2 linked regions of the Arabidopsis thaliana genome follow. The protein of the gene in region 1 interacts with the protein of each later gene in a pairwise test. Each region holds a gene or a part of one and is shown in the gene's direction. Other genes may lie near its edges.

Region 1 (10,304 bases):
ATTGGTGGGTGACTTATCTCCTCTGGCTTTACAAGATCCATGATTCTAAAGTCTTCCTTTTTCTTTCTGGGTTAACACTCAACAACAAATCTTCTTCTTATGAGCTCATGAATCTGCTAAAGAATCAGGAAAACTAAAAGAATCTGATTGAATCAGAGGAATGACTGAGAAAACAAGAACAGAGTGGTTTTAAATAAGATAGAAAAGTTGTGTGAAAGAGAAATGAGGACAAGGCAAAGCGAAAAAGCTTCTCTTTTTCGAAGTTGCAGCTGAGTTAGAAGAAAGCTTTTTGGTAGTGGTGGAGATGGTGATGGCTAAGGAATTTTTATTGATTTATATATGAATGGGATAGTGAAAGGTTAGGAAAAAGGACCGTTAGAAGTTTTAGTTAGGTACCAGAAATGCCCCTTAAAGAACTGCCAAAAAACCGAATACTACCGTTACACTGTTTTGTTGGTAAATAATGCTTTTCTCAACTTTACACATCAGAGAGTCACAGATTCTTTAATGCATTAGTTACGTTTTCTGCAGTGCATGTCTTCTCTTCTTTCAAGCTTCTTGAATTTAGTTAGTCTTTAATTAAAGGGCACAGAAAAATAGAGGAAGGAATCGTATAGCAGCCAAGTCTTTGATTTGTATTTAGTGTTCCCAATTCTTATTCTTTTCAGTTTTCACGTCCATTATCCATTTTTATAATTGCAAAGGTGTTTTCTACCTAGTACATTCTCATACATTGGTTATACAAAAGTCAAGAAAAAAAAGTTAGTATAATATACTTGATGATCGATTATGAAGACTAGACCATAATGAAAGCAAACCTAAGTAAAAAGGTAAAAGAAAACGTTATGATTGTGTGAAAATGACGTGTTTTTGTAAAAGAAAAATGAATCAATAGCTTAACATCTCTTTTGCTTTACTTTCTTCATTTTTCACTTTGAACTTTTTATTTTATTAAAAAAATTATCTTGGGTTGAATAATAATGACATTGGCGCAAAAAAATAAAAGTAATAAATAACATGGAGCCAAGACATGGGTCCAAAACAGTGCAGATGTAAAAAGAGTAGCTAACTGGGACACCCACGTGCGACCCAAGATGGACCAAAATGGGGTCACATATTTGGATTTAAGACATAAACAATACAAAAAAAATTCACAATGCTTTTGTTAACAGACATACCTCTCTGGTCTCTTTCACCTGTTGACTGCTACAAGAACCAAAAACGGTGCCGTGTCATGGCTGTGGTCGATTGAGTAAAAAGGTTTTGATTTGCTCATGTCCTGCCTCTTTCATCTGTGATTCAAAATAACACATGCTTGTTATAAGATCCCACATTGGATGTAAAATGTCTAAATATCACAAAGTGACTAAACTATTACTAAATAACTCTCACATTCTAAAGGGGAAGGAATAGTAAATGGCTTCTAAGTTCACAAGCTGACTTTTAAAGGATTATATATGGATTAGAGAAATACTCGGCTATCTGTTCAGATATCTCCTAAAACAAATAGTGGATGCTATTATTAATTGGCACGGACTAGCAGCAGCTTTGAGATTGTCAACTGAACGACTAAATTGAGACTTACGCAGAAGCAATGACATCTGATTGAATAGCTGCATTAGACCATAACGAAGATAGAAAATCTTGAGTACTAGCTGGGAGATGATTTCTTCATGTACCTGAAGGCAAACACCACAAAAAGAAACAACTTAATTATGCAAAAATCCATCTCATAATCTCATTGTACACACTCAAAACTTAAACTGTGATAACCAACCTTATCCTACTTCGATTTCTTGTTTGCTATTGCATAGCAAGCCACAGTATATATTGGTATAGAGGAAAATCCCACCATTGATTAAACCTAGATATCCTGTAAAAATTGTCACATTCCCAAAATCTATCAAATTTTTCAAAAAAGGGTACATTCTTTTATCTAGGAAGTAACTAGTGCACACCTGGAATGGGCTTTGAATGGTGATAACAGTCCCAAGTTGAGCAACCAGCATAGAAAAAGTGGAGCTTGATGGTTTGTCCTGCATTCTTGCTCCCTCCTTTCCTTGTCATTCTCTGCAATTTATACACCAACAAAGATGAATTCCTCAACAACATGCAGAGCGATGTGCAGAAGCCACTTAGATTATACTCAAGAGGGTCTAAATACATGTTTACTGAATCAAGACCGAATCTGATCGAATTATCTTGGAACCTCACTTCATGCAACAAGAAATCTAGACTTCTATATAATAACTTCACATTTCACATCTGTCAATCTTTTTCAAACTAAAGGACCTTATCAATTTTCCCCTCTTCAATCACATGATCCTAGAAAAAACAGAAAATCCAAAGAACCACAACAATAGAGAAAATTGCAAAGACAAAGCAGTGAGGGAAAATGAAGGAACTAACAGTAAAACCCCTAGCTGGATAACTTAAGACAATTTCAATAGAATCCAATCTAGATCATAATGACCTCAAAACCCGAAAACAGCAATCTATAATCATTCTAGATTAGCGATTTTGAAACACGGAAAGCAAAAGAGGACTAACTTTGAGCTCCTCCCAGAAACTTCTCTCTCTCAGTACATTCCCCAGATGCCGAATCGCCGAACAGGTCTCGCTTATTCTCCGTCGCACTCGAAACTTCACCACCGGCGGTCCCAAAATTCGAAACCAGAAAGTGTCTCTCTGTCTTCGCCTCCATCTCTTTCGTCCAGTGCTAATTTAAATTTTCGACGATTTGATTAAAAATGTTTGTGAGCCCAAGCCCATTAGACTTGTGATTAGTCTTTTTGGCATTTTGTTTACAACATGTGGTGCATGCATGCATGCATGGTGAATGATTAATATGAACATGGTGCGTTATTAACTCAACAATAAGGAATCAAACTGTAATATTTTCTTGTTAGATATGCAATTTAGTGATAATTTATCCATGGTAAGTTAGGTGACCGGGTCAAAACCATTATTGGATCAACATCTTCCATCTTTTTTTTCTGATATCAGCTATCATCACACATTGTAAGAAATAATTCAACAACCCTTTTCTTTTTGTATAATGATGAGTTAGACAATGGCTTTTTATGCATATGTAAATGTAAACTCATCTGGTACTCAATTGTCAATTCATAATCATAGGTCATGTTCAATGTATTGAAATCTCTAATCAGACTCGGATACAGATCATTGTGTTTGTGTGCAGTGACTCTAACAACTTATTGACCTTTTCTCTTAAGGATGTCATTTTTGACCAACAATATAGGAACTTAACTCAATTCATCATTGTTAGGAAAGAGTTCTAATTACTCTTCACTCGTCACTTGTCTCTTCGTATCTATCTCTTCTTGGTTGTCTCTTAGAATTCATGAACTGTGTTGTGTGTATAAGTTAATCTTGTTTCTCATGAATGATAAGTATCTTTCTCCATAATCATTACACTACATATTCTGAATAGTTTCTTACATATTAATTTACTACCAAATTTTGTGTTTTTTATTTGCAACTATTACAAATTTTGAATCTTTCCTTTTAGATAATATTTTATTTATTAACGTAATACACCTTATCCAAACAAATGTACTATCTTAAAGTGGTCTTCACATCGATCTTTTATTCTTTCTTTTTTTTTGGTAAAATTTTTTTTTTTTTTTTTATATATGCATTAGATCTTTCTTCTTCTTTTTTGACAGCAGATGTTGTATTAGTTTATACATTTCTTAATACAATACTAACACAAATTATACGAAAGAGGATAAACCTCCGTCGTGCTTGCATATTTTAGCATAAGCTTTCCTGGAAATCTTTCTGAGGTAGTTATTTTTTTCTTGAGAGTTTTAAATTCGTAATTATGCATTAAAATGAATAAACTACTATCATCAATTGAGATTTTTTATCTGAAGAACAATTTATGACATGATATATTCTCCTAATTTAGTCTAAGTGTTGGTATATTAGCTGAATCTATTTGAATGCTATTGCTTGTACACAAACAAGCTGAATTTAATTGATTATATCCAATTTCAGAATAAAGTTCCGGATGATAAAGTTGCACTCAAGATTAGTCTCGTAATCCAAATTAAAATACAGAAAACGGATTTTGGAAGTATGAAACTATGAATATAATCTAATTGAAAACTTTTTATCAAAAAAATAAATAAGGAGAAAGTGAAACTTGGAGTCTTAAATTTGAAGCCACTGGTTTTGGTCTGCAACGTGAAGTCCACAATGTACAGTAAGCACCGACTCAGCAAAACACGTGGTGCCCACAAATACCACTCCATACAGTATCTTTTTAAAGACTATAATACTCACGTATCACATAAACCTATACATTTGCTAAATAAAATGTGTGATGACATCTTAACGAACCATGATCTGCTTATCTATCAGCCTCATTGATAAGTCAACCTTATTATCTGTCCTTTAAGAAAGCTTAAATGTATTCCAAAGTTGACATTGCGTATGGATAGAACATATAAGTTTGCCTTTTATAATTTGAAAATCCGTCCAACGTGTTATTCTGTTGGCAAAATATTTGGATTAGGATAAAACTTCAACATCAAATAGCAATATTTTAAAATCAAATGACTTTTCAGCTTCTCGAAACATAAGATAAAGTCAACTCGAAAACTGTTATAAAACGAACACGAAAAAGGCCAAGTTAAGACAACATCACAACCGAAACAACAACCCCACCATATCTTATTTTTGTCCGTTTCTTCATTTCATTTTCTTGTTTTGGTTCGTTTCCCGGTAAAACCGTGTCGGAATCAACAAACAACAGTTACATTTACACTTAGAGAGCAACCAGAACTAAATAAAAGTCTCAGCCTACGGATGGCTCAAGTACTATCTACACCGTTGGCCATCCCCGGCCCAACGCCAATACAATTCATGGCGGGTCTTCTTGCTCGAATCGTTACAAAAAATACGAACAAAGAGACCAGTACTCCAGAGAGCCCGAGGAGTCCGCGGACTCCACAAGGCTCTATTCTCATGGACAAGTACGAAATAGGAAAGCTTCTTGGCCACGGAAGCTTCGCTAAGGTCTATTTAGCACGGAACATTCATTCTGGCGAGGATGTTGCCATCAAAGTCATTGACAAGGAGAAGATAGTGAAGAGTGGATTGGCCGGTCATATTAAACGGGAGATTTCAATCCTCCGCCGTGTCCGCCACCCTTACATTGTACACCTACTCGAGGTTATGGCTACGAAGACAAAGATTTACATTGTGATGGAGTACGTTCGAGGCGGAGAGCTTTATAATACGGTGGCTAGAGGACGGCTTCGAGAAGGAACCGCGAGGAGATATTTCCAGCAGTTGATCTCATCCGTTGCTTTCTGCCACAGCCGCGGTGTTTACCACCGCGATCTCAAGCTTGAGAATCTGCTTTTGGACGACAAGGGGAACGTGAAAGTCTCTGACTTTGGGCTCAGCGTTGTCTCGGAGCAGCTCAAGCAAGAAGGAATCTGTCAAACGTTTTGCGGGACACCAGCTTATTTGGCGCCTGAGGTTTTGACAAGGAAAGGTTATGAAGGTGCAAAAGCCGATATTTGGTCTTGTGGAGTGATCTTGTTTGTATTGATGGCTGGTTATCTTCCATTTGATGACAAGAACATATTGGTTATGTATACAAAGATATATAAAGGGCAGTTTAAGTGTCCTAAATGGTTTTCTCCTGAGCTTGCAAGGCTTGTGACCCGGATGCTAGACACGAATCCAGATACCCGAATCACAATACCGGAGATCATGAAGCATAGATGGTTCAAGAAAGGGTTCAAACATGTCAAATTCTATATTGAAAACGATAAGTTATGTAGGGAGGATGATGACAATGATGATGACGATTCATCATCATTGTCATCAGGCCGATCATCGACTGCTTCAGAAGGAGATGCAGAGTTTGATATTAAAAGGGTTGATTCAATGCCGAGACCCGCGAGTCTAAACGCATTTGACATCTTATCGTTCTCAGATCTTTCGGGTTTGTTTGAAGAAGGTGGACAAGGAGCAAGGTTTGTATCTGCTGCTCCTATGACAAAGATCATATCGAAATTGGAAGAGATTGCCAAAGAGGTGAAATTTATGGTGAGGAAGAAGGATTGGAGCGTGAGGCTAGAAGGTTGTAGAGAAGGAGCTAAAGGACCGTTGACAATTAGAGTCGAGATCTTTGAGCTGACGCCATCTCTTGTGGTGGTTGAAGTGAAGAAGAAAGGAGGAAATATAGAAGAGTATGAAGAGTTTTGCAACAAGGAACTTAGACCACAGCTGGAGAAACTGATGCATTACCAAGCAGATGAAGTTGAAGAAGTAATGTGTTTGCCACCTGAAATTGAACAGTGACAAAGTTAAGAAAACAGGAAGGTCGAGAGAAGAAGACATAACAAGAGAAGGTATCATAGAAACGAATATTAACATTCTTTGTTACTATACTTAATTTGTTTTGTGTATATATATGAAAGTGAGAGTTGTAATGAGAGTGATTAGGAAGATCAGAGAAAAAAAGAAATTAAGAGTGAGATCTTAATAAGGCAGTTAGACGGTTTTTGCTGGCGATTAAATGGCTAGTTTTTCGTTTATTGCTAATATGTTGTACATGTATCTCTACAAAGAGACGAGCTTAATGGAATTTTTTTCTCGGCCTTCCCCTATAACACTGTCTTGTTCATCCTAAGCTAACACATATTTATGCTTCATCAGAGAGACTATATGATAAACTGAAATGTGTAAATGTTACCTGTAGACTTTGCTGCCTTGTAGTCCTGGTAACCTTCACCTGAATGGAAACAGTTAGCTTGAAAAAACTTCCAACAGTTAATTGGGTTTGAATTGGGTATAGATAGAAATATGAACATAGCATTTACTGGGAACAATTGTTCTTCTTATTAGTTAAGTAGGCAACACACAGATATGAAAGTATAACTACACATGTAAATCAATCTGAGGGATTACGTGTTAAGTGTTCTAAGGGTCACAAAAGAAACTGCGGTTTTCTTACGTCGATGAAATTGTAATTCAACGTGATGATCCATCCCAAGGGAGCTTCAAACCACTAAGTTTTTGATTGGCAAGATGAATGAGCAACGAGTTCCTGCAAAAGATATAGCGAAGATCAAAGAAGGGTTAGTATTATCGCCTCATTGTGTTTCTTTATCTCCCAGGGAAAACTTTACATGCTTACTTCAGAATAGCGTATATGATCTCTGTGCGTATAAGAAGTCTTGACTATAGTTTCCCACTTGGTAACACTTGTGGAGTTTTCTTCAACATTCTTTTTTTGGGGATGAAACAGGTATCTCGGTGAAGGGATCTTTGAGCTTACTGACGGCAGATTACTGAAAAGCCAAGACTCGGAAGGCTTTTTGGGTGGCGGCGGAGCAAGTGGAGATAGATCACAGCCACTGTTGTTCTTTCCCAACTCATCTGCCTTCATCATCTTGACTCCACTGCTAATACTAAGAGTTTCTACAGCCTTAAGCTCGCGAACGGCTTTCGGTTTCTTTCCCTCCATTTCAGGTTCCTCTGAAATTGTTTCTGGCAATTTCTTGACATTAGAGCTACGATTCTCATTGCTGGTCCTTGGAGAATTCTCTGAGTCAACATATAATGTCTTCTCCATGGCAGAGCTCGTTGAACAGTCTTGTTTTGTACTTTTTGGATAGAGTGATTCGTGAGACTTGCTTATGTTTCTGATATGCTTGTTCAACCTGTTAGCTCTCATAACCTCTGCTTCCTTACGAGTCCCAGGGAAACCCGCAGCGTGAAGAGGAGAACTGTTTCCTACACTGCGATACGGTGACATACAGCCATTTTGTCTGTAAGGAGATGATGGCCTACTTGCAGAACTCTTCGATTCATGTTGTTCAGAACCAAAGTTAAACTTCTTCCCAACACTTGGGTGTACTGGAGACTGAGCTATACTTCCCAACTTTTGCTTATAATCAAGAGCGAGCTGAAAACATTTTTGATTGATCTTCAGTGAGTTTCTGATCAGTCTATATTATACTAAAAAGGTGAAAAGGAAGGAGATGCTTGAGAAGGAACCTTTTTCACAGATTGGAACCGAGATTTGAGCTGAGCGACCTTGCTTGACTTCACTTGATCATGGCTTGGGGTTCTCAGAGAGTAAGGTTTCTCTTTAAGACCATTCACTGAGCTCAGCATACCGAGTGAGTTTTTAAAGCAGATTTGTGGAGACATCATACCACAGCCTCTCTTAGAAAGATACTCAGAAACTTCATCGTCATCTGAATCCTCCTCGCTTTCTTCGTCATCTATGTCCTGATAATAAGATGGAGTAAAACTAGACTCATACCTTGTAGGAGTTGCACGATTCTCTGCTGGTACTATATCTCTAATCTGTCTCATTGGTTCTGACATGAGGGGCAATGGCTGTCGCTTCCAAGAATATTGAGGTGGTTGCTCCAGAGTCAAGGATTTCGCAGCAGGTAAGAAACGATCCAACATGAATTGAGGATCCTCAGATGGCATTGACGGTTTCATTGCCTCAACACCACCACCACCACTTATGCTTTGCTTTAGAGACAATGTATCAAGGGCATCAGAGAAAACATCATCATCTTCACTCTCTTCTGCTTCTTCTTCTACATGTTTACTCTCCAAGGGAGAATCCGGAACCTGATCTAAACCCATGTCTTGGACAAGAACTGAAACAGAAAGAGATTCACTTGTCTTGGACTCATCAGTGAGCTGCTTTGGCATGTTTCTGCGTACAGAGATTGCAGATTTTTTCATCCTCCTTGTTGAAAGAAGAGGTGCATCGAAGTTAAGTTGTTTCTCCGCCATAGAACCAACCAAAGCCGTTAGAGAAGATCAGAGATGGACTGACACCAACTTATTTTTCTCTGCCAAACTTAATGATGTTACACAGTTCTCCAAAACAGATCTGGAAAACCAAAACATAAATAAATAAGTCGGAGCTACCTAGATTCCATAGTAGTTGACTAATTTAAGTAATTAATTATACATACTGACACACATGAACCCAACGACAAATCTGAAGAAGATGGAAAACGTACAAAAACGTTAAGAACTTTACAAGAAACTTTCATTTAATTCAAATATATAGTTGCGCCGCTAAACTTTCAAACCCGTGATTCAAATCATTGGAAAAGGATTTATGGGGAGTAATGGAAAGAGATCATTGAAGCAATGTAGAAACTAAGTGGAGCATTGCATGATTGAATTGTGAAATCTACTAACCGGAGAGATGTGGAGGGAGGAGCTTCGGAGTTGTGTAAGTTCGTTATCTGCACCGAGAGAGAGTGTGATGAGTCTGAGTGAGAGGGCCTAGAGAAAAGGACGAGACTTGAGTCTTGAGGAAGAGTAAGAACAAAGGCATGTGAAAGAGAGAGAAACAAAAGATTGAGTAAGCTTTTGGTTTTGTGTATATTTCTGTGCCGTGAAGATGACGGAGACGAAAATGGAATTTCAAGAAGGAAAAAAATAAAGAAAAGCGACAAGTCACGAGTGGCTTGTGTTAGTGTCTTCCTCACCCAAATTGAGTCACAAATTGTAAACTTTAAATTTCTATCTATTTATGTCGTCTCAACCAATTCTAGAGATATATACTGTGACAAATATCACTTTTATTATGCTCATTAGGCTTAAGACATATATTTTCATATCACTGTAGATTTTATCATCGTTTTCTAGTCCAAATTTTGAGAAATTGTGGTAGAATGATGCTAAGAAAATTTATGGCCGAGATGTTTTATTGTTTAGCTATCATTCTTCCTATCAAAAGTTAACAGATACAACAAACCATCCATTGTGATAACAAGCCAAAAATTAATGAAATTAAACAAATAAAGCCCTTTATAGAATAAGCATCAAGAAACCCAAAATAGTTAAAAGCTATTTTCAGTTCTGCACCTGAGCTTCTGCATCTTCTTTTTCTTCATTGGCTGCAGCCATTAGTTCATCAAACTTCTCTGACTTCACAAGCGTAATCTCAATCTGCAAGACCAAAAACCAAACTGTTAAATCAAGATAAGAGGTCGATGAAAATTATAGTTTCACAAGTAGTAGGCATGAAGAACTACCTTAGCTTTCTGCACAGGACGTCCTCTTGCATCATCCTTAATATCAACAGTTGAAGTCATGATCTCTATATAGAAGAAGAAACCATATTTGTCAAAAAAAAAGCAAAGCTTAGAGTCGTGAAATCTCCAATAGTGAAACTATAAAGATACTTACTCTTCTCAACAGCAAAACCATTGTTCTTCAGTATTTCAGTAACAGTAACAACAGTTGCAATGGCTGCACATTCATGTTGAAGA
Region 2 (10,304 bases), on another chromosome or scaffold:
GATGGAGAAAAGTGTTCCATTTTTCGATTCATTGAAATTGCCCGAGACTGCGCTTAAAGTTGAAGATTGTGTGATTGAGCTTGCTAAAGCGGTGAAAGAGCAGTTAGGTTCAGATGATCCTGCCTTTACGCAAGCTGCTGATGCTATGGTTAAGTGGGTCCAGCTCTGGAATTCTGTTAATTCTAGCGCTTGAAGTTGAACAATCTCTTGAGGTTAGGTTCCTTTATCACTTCTAAGCATATTATCATGTCTCAGAGATTTACCCAAGTCGTTTTCTTTCTTTTAGTATCATCATGTTTATTTTCTCTTTTTATCTAAATTATAAGCATGTGTTTTTGAGACACTCAATAATGTAACCTGATGAAACCCATCTGCTTTGACTCGATGATATTAATATCTATTGCTTAGCTTTTTTACTTCTGGTTATTACTCGCTTTTACCATAGTAAAATCATCAAAAGCGAAAATTTGTTACTATTAGCAACTAGGTATATTCACAAAGATACAACAAGCATTAGTCATTCCTTTGTTCAATAAATGTGGAAGTTACAGGGAGTATACAAACAATACATGTCAAACAACCTCGTTGTTCTAGGCACTGCGTTCCACGGTTGAAGATGATGATGCTATTGGTTTGGGTGCCAAAGTATTAAGCAAAGACTGAGTCTCTAAAAGTTTTTCCCTAAGCAATACATTGTAGTCGTAAAGAAGTTGAAATTTATTCTTGATATCCATTGCGTCCACTTCTGAACCAGAAGATCCATCAATGAACTCTGCAATAGTGACAGTAGTGGTTGGAGGTTTCAGGTTTGAGATCATATTACTATTATAAACCAATTAAGCTCAATTGAGATACATCTATTCTTCACTTCTACTTCTAAAACCTAAACCATATGACATAGCTACTGCTACCGAATCATAAATCACTAGGTACAATGTGGATGTTAAGTTATAAGCCATACCCATTGGAGGAGGTGGAGGGATTGAAACGTCTTCACTATGAGAAATTGGATGAGTTATACTCTTTTTATTTGAGAAATTATCTCCATGAGCCAGAGAAGAAGCCGAATCAAAAGAGCTCAGTTCTAAACTTGCAGGTTGTGAAATCACATTCTGGATAAAAAGAGAAAATTAACAACTCAAAAGGGTCAAAAAAAAGGAAAGGGGAACCCAAAAACAGATAGTTAGCTCACCTTCTCAATACCTAAGTTAGGCTTCTTGTTCGCCATGATCGATTCCCCGTGTTCCGAGCTATTAGAAGATGTTGGAGGTCTCGTTAAACCACACATTCCTGATACCTTTGTCGTTTTGATGGCATCATCGACCAATATGCTGCAATCCCATGTGTATGCAACATATCTTCTCAGCTAAATGAGGATTATTGAAAGAGCAACTTGTAATAAGAAAAGAAGCCATTGCAAGAAGAAAAACCAAAAAAGAGAAAGGGGAAAACAATTACTTTATCCCAGTGATCTAGAGCTTTACGACGATTCCTTATCTTCCTGAAAACAGTATCTTCATTTCGCAGCTTCTTGATCCTGTACTCACACTATTCAAAGAGCCAATTTACCGCCATCAGGATATGCTTAGGAAGGACTAGAAAACTTTCAAACACTATAGTACACACCCGCTAATAATGCTTAATGCTCTTTCTTATATTCATAGATCATGAATACCAATAAACATTAAGTAAAGGAGATGAAAAGGTTTCAAACCTGCACTAGTAGGTAGAAAAATATGCCAATACTGATGCAATACAAACCACCAAGATCGGCAAGGAAGCTAACTGTTAAACAGCAACCAGAAAAGGAAAAAGAAACTTAAGTTAGAACTGAAGCTACTCTAGTATTCTCTACTTGCACATACTGGAATGATTCACAAGAAGTGATTGGACAAAGTAAATTTACTTACCAGGACCGAGTATATTTTCATGGTCTATCTCAACAATATAAGCAGAGAGATAGTTGATGAACAATGTCGTATTGAGTATGCCATCTGTTGACCTTCCCATAGATGCCTGAAGCTGAGTAGTGTCTCGGTAAACAGAGCCAGGGATAAACTCGTGAAAGAGAGGTTGGATTAGCTTTAGATCATGCAAATGATGGTAAATCCGAGGAAACAGATTAAACTTCAATATATTCCCTTCGGTTCCACGGAAAGTAACCGGACTTTCATCGAGAATGCTTCCGTTTCTCAGAGTGCCACTAACAAAACTCATATGCTTCTCGTTAGGTCCATTCTTAGACGTAAAGTTAAACTGAAATCCAACAGCAGCAGCAGGCGAATCAGGAAGATCAACGAAATGCCACGAGATATATATGTAATCGTTGGTGAGACGACATTTGGTACATTTGAAATTCACTGTTGGTCCTGAAGTTGTATTCTTACAAGTATAGCTTCCTAAACTAGAAAGAGCAGCAACTTTGAACTCGCTAAACCCGGGATTACCCATGACCACGTTCCCAATACCGCGTAAATTAGAGCAACTCATATCCGAAACAGCGGTGATGTTAAACTCCAAATCGTTCTCGAATGAGATCAAATCTGGAGAACCAGTAGCTCTCACATTGTGAACTTCAATTGTTCTCTTGGTTATGATTTGATAAAGCAGCCTGTGAAGAAACTGACTAAGTTAACAAAAACCAAAGGAAGCACTAAATTCTGAAGTTATCAAACTCACGCAGCGAATAAACCAATGAAAACAATCCAGCTCGCAACAGAAAATGTTCCACCAAGTTCTGTTTTACGTTTCTTGACAATTTGTTGATCATCCTACAAGATTCAGGAACCTAATTGGTTTACTCAAAAGAAACCAATTCATGGAGACAAAAGCAATGAGAGTAGAGAAAGCACTAACGAGCCAATGTCTAGTGGAGAAGAAGACGTCAAGTCGAGTAATCCACCAACGGAGATTAAACCAGACATTACGACCATCGCCGAGTTTGGTGAATCTCAGGAAGAAACAAAAGACTAACCAGGAGAGAAGCATCACGAGCGTAGCTTCTAAGAAAATAGCTTGAGATTGCGTGAACTTACGGATCCTATCGAAAGCGAATAAAGTCTCGGCGAATGATATTACGCTGTAGTTTACATCTTTGTCTGTGGAGATTGTTGACGGCCAACCGAAGATCTCGCAGCTCCCGGAGCTCCGGTTTAGTAGCTGACCGATACCGCACGCGCAGCGCGTGGCGTTGTATGTTATGGAGTTTCTAGGGCACGCCATCACACACAGAGAGAGCTTCGAAATGAAGAAACGAAGACGAAGAAGTCGAAGAGAGAGAGAGAGAGAGAGAGAGAGAGAGAGAGAGAGAGAGAGAGAGAGAGACGGAGAAAGGAGAAGAACAAAAGGGGCAAGAAAGGAATTTCATCTTTTAATTATTTTATTATTATTTGGACCAGCTTTAAAGAACCAGACCACGAAGCAGAACCAGCCTGTTAAGCAAGTGACTTCGTCGTGGTCAAGAACCAGCAAAATTTAAAAACCGGGTGGTTCATGTTATCCGGTTCGGTTTATATATCAAATTTTCCCGCCGGACCAAACAAACCTGCAGAGAGATTTTCCTGATTCAAAAGTCGTTTCTAGCTTTGCCTTTGTACTTTTTTTTTTTTTGTAATCATTAGTTCATTACATAATCTATGAAGTGTTCACATATTCTTGGAAATTTGATAACTATAATCACCGATCTTGATCTCTTTAGCTATTATTATGGTGTACCCTTCAAGTTCTAAAGTATAAGAACTATACTAGAATTAATGAATAAGTAACACTTTGCATGTAACTTAAGACTTGTGTTCACATCAAAGAGTGTTGTTGATGCGGCTAATACGTTTGAGGACTTTATGCTAAAAGTAAATCATTCTCCATTCTCCATGGTTGAAAACTTGTTCTTGCGTCTTCTCTTCTCTGGAAAAACGAATGTTTCCAGAATAAAAACACGAGATGTGAAGCAGAAGAGTACAACAAGTAGGTGCTGTAGCATATATTGAGTGACGAAGCAATGAAGGAACAGATTATTGTGAGCCACAAAATAAATTAAGAAATAATACAGTAGTGAAGTCGTTTCAAACAGAGGATTTATTCCACCTGCACTTGGAGGAGTTTCCTCTTTTCATAAGTCTAAAGAACAAATTTGCCTTTAAGAATAATTCTTCTGTGTTTTTTTTTAATATGGAATTTGAATGAAAGATTAGTGTGTGGATATGGATAATTAATTATATTTAAAAAATTATGTAATATTGATATGTTTGTAGTTTGGTTTCCCTTTCTATTGGCTGCTATTTACTTCATTCTTTCAATGATTGACGTTGAACTTCTTTTCGACCAAAATCAAAACATCCTCTCCTTTATGTATAACTTTGTTTCTTCTGATTTGATTTGTAACATTAACATGATTACATTTATATATAGTATATAATACGTAACCATGCATTTAACTTGGTACTTGGATTCGTTTATGAAAGATTGAAAGGAAAACGAAAGTTATATGATCACTACTCTTGAATTCGAACTCTAATTTAGGAAGAACAGTATAAACCCCAACATATAGTGTTTTCTGGTCTGAAAAACTTTGATTGTTTTGTTTTTGTGGTTTGGGAAAAAACATCAACATAATATTCATGACGTCAAAAGTACAAAACAAATAAGATGGATTTTGAATAAACTTTCCAATCGTGCTAGCTAGCTATTTCTGACATAATTCAAGAAGAATAATGAAAATATGTCACACAAAAACAAAAGTATTAACGATGAATGAATGAATGAGAGAAGACAAAAACCTTTTTGATATTAAAAAGACTGTAATATATATCAACACATCAGGAGAGAAATTTGAAAGCATATTATAGATTTGTAATCATCAAGTGATAAATAGAACTTATTCTACTAGCATTATTATTCATATTTATATATGATCCCTCAATTTCACCAGTGAATAAGCATCCTCCACGTTTTCACAGATTTCTAATCCACCGATTTTAACTTTTGTTCCATCAGTCAAATCCCCCTTTTTGTTTTTGTTTTAGTCCGACTATATATATTTGTTTGCTTATGTTTTTCTATTTGTTCCAAATCTTTGGTAAAGATAGGTGTTTCCATAAAATGTTATTATCAAATCAAATGATAAATAAATGCTTTCCAGATCATTTTATGCCTCTGCATGATTCTCTAGTAATTAGATCAAATCAATTTTCTCATCATGAATATGTGTAATAGAAAAGACTTTGTGAATGGACAATATATATGGTTACAAAACAAAAATATACCATAGAATTAAAAAGTGCTAATATGATGATATTGCACCTAGCAATATGTGTTGTTGTGATTATATTAGAGTCCAGAAGGCAAATAATAAATTTGTTGTCTAGCAAGAAAGGACAAGAGCACGAGGTACAAATTTTTCTGTAAACTTTTGTAGTTCTTGAATGGCTTCCTCAATCCTCACGATGATAGATTTTTCGCTAGCTCGTAGTATAATATGGTTCTTTGATATTTTAACAAAGAAGAAAGACATGGCCATATGATTTTTTATCGAACGAAACATAAAAAACAACGTAAAACATGGTTTAAGATAAAAGTAAGTAAGTTATTTGTAGACTTCTCTATCTATCTATATATTAACATATTCTAAAACCCATGACATGTTATTTCTTAAACCATGAATATATTGAAACATTCAAATCATCACTAGGTATAAGTAAGTGAAATTCATTTTCTTATAAGAAATCTCTCTTTGTCGGTTATGAAATTGGTTGCTATCGCCAGGTCGTAGGGCACAAATACCCATTTCGGCATATATACAAACTATTCCATGCACTTTACTTATATTACATGCACTAGCATAGTTCTGCTCCCATTTTATGAAAGTGGTTAATAAATATAAATATTAAGATTAAGAAAAAAACGATTAAGCAAATATTTCGAATAAATTATTGAAAATATATTATTTGGTTAGTCTCATGTGTTGTGGCGACGAGTTACGACAGCCAAAAACATATATTGGTCGAGACGATCTTCTAGTTATGGTGCTAAAGCTGCAACCTCATTCTTTATTCTGCGACATTACCATTAATTAATATAGTCAAATATTGAAAGAAATGTTTACGTCATACACAAACACTACACTCACTATTTACAGGAAACAATTGGAATAGAATCATATGCCACGGCACGGTCTGGTCAATTATATTGATAACGATAACTCTCTTGTTTCTCAATTAAACTAATGGCTAAAAATATGAGGTTGATTTTAATTTTTTTATCTAAATATTTAGACTCAAATTTCAATTGTATCTATTCTATAGGAATTTAGCCAAATTATTTATAAATATTCGTAATCATATTCCGAAGAAAAAAATATTATTGTTTAATTTATATCTAAACTTTACTTTTGTTTGAATATTACTCATGGATATCTCATTACCTATCTTTTTTCTACAACAAATAAAACAATTAAAAATTTATCTATAAATATGAACATGTTGGTTTCTCTATCGTAACACATTTACTATCTACGAACGAATTTAGAAGCTTTGTTTTCTTTCCTTTCGTTTGCTACTACTGCAACATTTCTATTTTTCTGATAAAACCATGATAAATTGTGGAGATGTTTACAAGGTAATCGAAGCAATGGTTCCACTCTATGTAGCCTTAATCTTAGGCTATGGCTCTGTGAAATGGTGGCACATCTTCACGCGTGATCAATGTGATGCTATAAACCGTCTCGTTTGCTATTTCACCCTGCCGCTCTTCACCATTGAGTTCACGGCCCATGTCGACCCGTTCAACATGAATTACCGGTTCATCGCGGCCGATGTCCTCTCTAAGGTCATCATAGTCACGGTCTTAGCGTTGTGGGCCAAATATAGCAACAAAGGAAGCTATTGTTGGTCCATTACTAGTTTCTCTCTATGCACTCTTACTAACTCTCTTGTCGTTGGTGTGCCATTGGCTAAGGCAATGTACGGACAACAGGCTGTTGATCTGGTGGTTCAATCCTCGGTATTTCAAGCCATCGTGTGGCTCACACTCTTGTTGTTTGTCTTAGAGTTTAGAAAAGCCGGATTTAGTAGTAATAATATCAGCGACGTACAAGTAGACAACATCAATATCGAAAGTGGAAAAAGAGAAACTGTGGTTGTGGGAGAGAAGTCGTTCCTTGAGGTCATGTCCCTCGTTTGGTTGAAGCTTGCAACGAATCCAAATTGCTATTCTTGCATCCTTGGGATCGCATGGGCTTTTATTTCTAACAGGTAAAAATGAATCTTTAATTAAACTTTATATTGGTACCTATAAGATGTTTAACAAAGTGTTAATTAGTATGTGTGATCAGGGACTCAGGAGACTACATTAATTCCACCCCTTACTCCGAGGCAACCGTTAAAATTGCCTAAAAATATCTATAGTTTGACGTTTAAACCATCTAAATTATTACTTTTCTGTGTAGCGCCTGATGATCTATAGTTAAAATTTTGACAGAAATATAGGTCACGATTGTTTCTTTGCATTTGCGTTTATATTTCCATGTGACAAATGACTAGGACATTTTTAACATGGTAACATAATTTGCAAACGTGACATGTACATGCAAATAAACTAATCATGATTTTAATCTGAATATTAGAGTCTTTGACCAAATTTCTATTTTATTTGTTTTAGTGTGAATTTTGGGTTTAGGGTTTTGATTAGTGTTTTGTATACTCTTGGCTAACAAATAAAGACTTAAGTCTAATAATTGATGGAAATTAATTGGAAATATAGATGGCATCTGGAGCTGCCGGGCATATTAGAGGGTTCGATTCTTATAATGTCAAAAGCAGGAACAGGAACGGCCATGTTCAATATGGGTACGTTTATTTATGTCCATGCAAGTATCTTTCTATACGTAAAGATTACGTATCAGTATTGAGATAACAGTGAATACATGCATATATACGCAGGAATATTCATGGCACTTCAAGAAAAGTTGATAGTATGTGGAACAAGCTTGACTGTGATGGGAATGGTATTGAAGTTTATTGCCGGACCGGCGGCCATGGCCATCGGCTCTATTGTCCTTGGCCTCCACGGTGATGTCCTCCGCGTAGCCATCATTCAGGTCATAAATTCTACTTTATCCTTTTGTACCCTAATTCTACTGAAGTTTGTATATAAAAAAAAAAGTAGATCATTTTCCATTCATTCATCCACTAAGATACTAACTTTATATTTTTCAGTTTAATATATCATTAATATTTATATGAAATTTACAGGCTGCTTTGCCACAATCGATTACTTCGTTCATTTTTGCTAAGGAATATGGATTACATGCAGATGTTCTAAGCACAGCGTAAGTCCAAATTTTAAAAATTCAGTCTATTTAAGAAGAAAATGGTAATATGAAATTAAATTAAAATTTTGATAAATGTAGGGTGATATTTGGGATGTTGGTCTCTCTACCTGTGCTCGTCGCCTACTACGCAGCTCTGGAGTTTATTCATTGATTAAACTAATAAATTCGATTATATCATCAATATTACCCTTTGTTCATCTTTCACAAGTTTTTTTTTTTGTTATCTCTTTTACACTTTCCTCCTAAAGGAGATTTTGAAGTATATTCGAGATATGAAAACCATTAACTGAATGAATTAACCTAGTTTATGCTTAATTTTATACTTTCTTAAGCTCTCTTTATTTTCGTAGTATGCATAATTTAGTATTTTGTTCACATATACGTATCAAGAAAAGATAAAAACTCTATAAATGAAAATACATCATGTTCGGATCTAAAATTGTTTTAATACGTACACTAAATATTATAAGCCCTTTTTTTGTTAACAAAAAAAAAAAAAGAATAAATGAAACGAAATTCAGGTTAGAGATCAAATAAAATCTTGTTATTATTTGATTCATGATCATACATACTAACCAAATCAGGATTTATGAAATAAATTATTCTTTCTCCTCAACCGAATCAATATGAAGATAAAAGGGGTAATTTAGTCTTTTCGAATTCGTTTTTCTTACCGAATCTCTTTAGTTTTTTTTCTTTCTTTTGTGTGGAGGAGAGAAGAGAACGCAACACTTTCTTCCCAATCTCTCTCTGCTTTCTCTCTCTAGACGTGATCTCTAATTCTCTAATGTCTTCCTGCATTGCCATTTCCTCTAACCCCTCCACAATCGGAGGAAGACGATTCCTGGGAGCAAGAGAAACGATGGGACTTCCCATCGGAAAATCTCTTAGAGTGAGAGAATTATGGTGTGTTCTTAATGCTTAATAATCACCGACACAGCCATTGTTCTTCATCATCTCCATGGATTTTGATTCCATTTCTCGGGAAAGCACTTTTCTTTCCCCATTGCTTAACCAAAGTACCATCCTTTATTCCCTCTCTGATGTTCTGATTCAATCTTAAAAACCTCAGCTTGAATTTTTGTTGTGGGGTTTTGGTTGGGTTTGTGAATTTTAGATGCAATGTGGCAAATGAACTTGGGATCAGATGATACAATGGGTGTTGATGGGTCTTATCCGGAACGTCACGGAGAGCCAGATTGTGCTTATTATATAAGGACTGGACTTTGTAGGTTTGGTTCAACTTGCCGATTCAATCATCCTCACGACCGGAAACTGGTACTGACTCTGTTTCTGTGTTTGTTCTTTCCTCTGTATCTTGTTGACTCAAAGTTTGTAGCTTTGAGGGTCTGTGTGTGTGTGTGATTACAAGCTGATGAATAGTCTCGTATCCAATTTCTAGGTTATAGCAACTGCAAGGATTAAAGGAGAATACCCTGAAAGAATTGGTCAGCCTGAATGTGAGGTAGCTCTGTTTCGAATTACTATCATAGTAATGTCTTCTAGTTATCACATTGTCTCAAAGCTTCTATTTTTGTTGTTGTGTCTGTGCAGTTTTATCTGAAGACAGGGACCTGCAAATTCGGAGTGACTTGCAAGTTTCATCATCCTAGGAACAAAGCTGGTATTGATGGAAGTGTATCAGTTAATGTCTTAAGCTATCCTCTACGTCCGGTATGTATACATTTCAACTTTCTAATCTCACCACTGCTTTGTAAAATTTTGCCTCTCTCATGAGTTCTGTTTGCAGAACGAAGATGATTGCTCTTACTTTTTGAGAATTGGACAATGTAAATTTGGGGGAACTTGTAAATTCAATCACCCTCAGACTCAATCAACCAACTTGATGGTTTCTGTTCGTGGCTCTCCGGTTTACTCTGCTCTTCAATCTCTAACTGGTCAACCGTCTTATTCTTGGTCGAGAACATCTTTTGTTGCAAACCCTCCTCGTTTGCAAGATCCTTCTGGTTTCGCTTCA

What was found.
Region 2: the proteins of CIPK13 (region 1) and PIN5 interact in a protein complementation assay, tested with the Arabidopsis thaliana proteins (one large-scale study listed by BioGRID).

The regions. Positions count from the first base shown.
Region 1 is NC_003071.7:14,426,802-14,437,105, reverse strand, and holds CIPK13 (CBL-interacting protein kinase 13), read left to right. Parts: upstream 1-4,623; 5' UTR 4,624-4,836; coding exon 4,837-6,345; downstream 6,346-10,304. Other genes in the region: AT2G34190 (Xanthine/uracil permease family protein), read right to left, coding at 1-41; AT2G34186 (uncharacterized protein), read left to right, coding at 1,157-1,252; AT2G34185 (uncharacterized protein), read right to left, coding at 1,779-1,873, 1,959-2,070, 2,173-2,213, 2,551-2,704; AT2G34170 (hypothetical protein (DUF688)), read right to left, coding at 7,055-7,093, 7,184-7,954, 8,047-8,808; AT2G34160 (Alba DNA/RNA-binding protein), read right to left, coding at 9,886-9,981, 10,068-10,132, 10,222-10,284. UniProt on the Arabidopsis thaliana protein: CIPK serine-threonine protein kinases interact with CBL proteins. Binding of a CBL protein to the regulatory NAF domain of CIPK protein lead to the activation of the kinase in a calcium-dependent manner.
Region 2 is NC_003076.8:5,394,150-5,404,453, forward strand, and holds PIN5 (Auxin efflux carrier family protein), read left to right. Parts: upstream 1-6,490; 5' UTR 6,491-6,585; coding exon 6,586-7,247; intron 7,248-7,755; coding exon 7,756-7,841; intron 7,842-7,934; coding exon 7,935-8,092; intron 8,093-8,246; coding exon 8,247-8,323; coding exon of another isoform or gene 8,324-8,327; exon of another isoform or gene 8,328-8,404; coding exon 8,405-8,477; 3' UTR 8,478-8,696; downstream 8,697-10,304. Other genes in the region: RGP5 (Alpha-1,4-glucan-protein synthase family protein), read left to right, coding at 1-193; AT5G16520 (uncharacterized protein), read right to left, coding at 591-772, 962-1,112, 1,193-1,366, 1,459-1,548, 1,715-1,785, 1,911-2,611, 2,680-2,771, 2,857-3,222; ZFN3 (zinc finger nuclease 3), read left to right, coding at 9,288-9,345, 9,444-9,604, 9,729-9,791, 9,881-10,000, 10,077-10,304. UniProt on the Arabidopsis thaliana protein: Auxin transporter regulating intracellular auxin homeostasis and metabolism. Mediates the auxin transport from the cytosol into the lumen of the endoplasmic reticulum. May also act as an auxin efflux carrier when located to the cell membrane.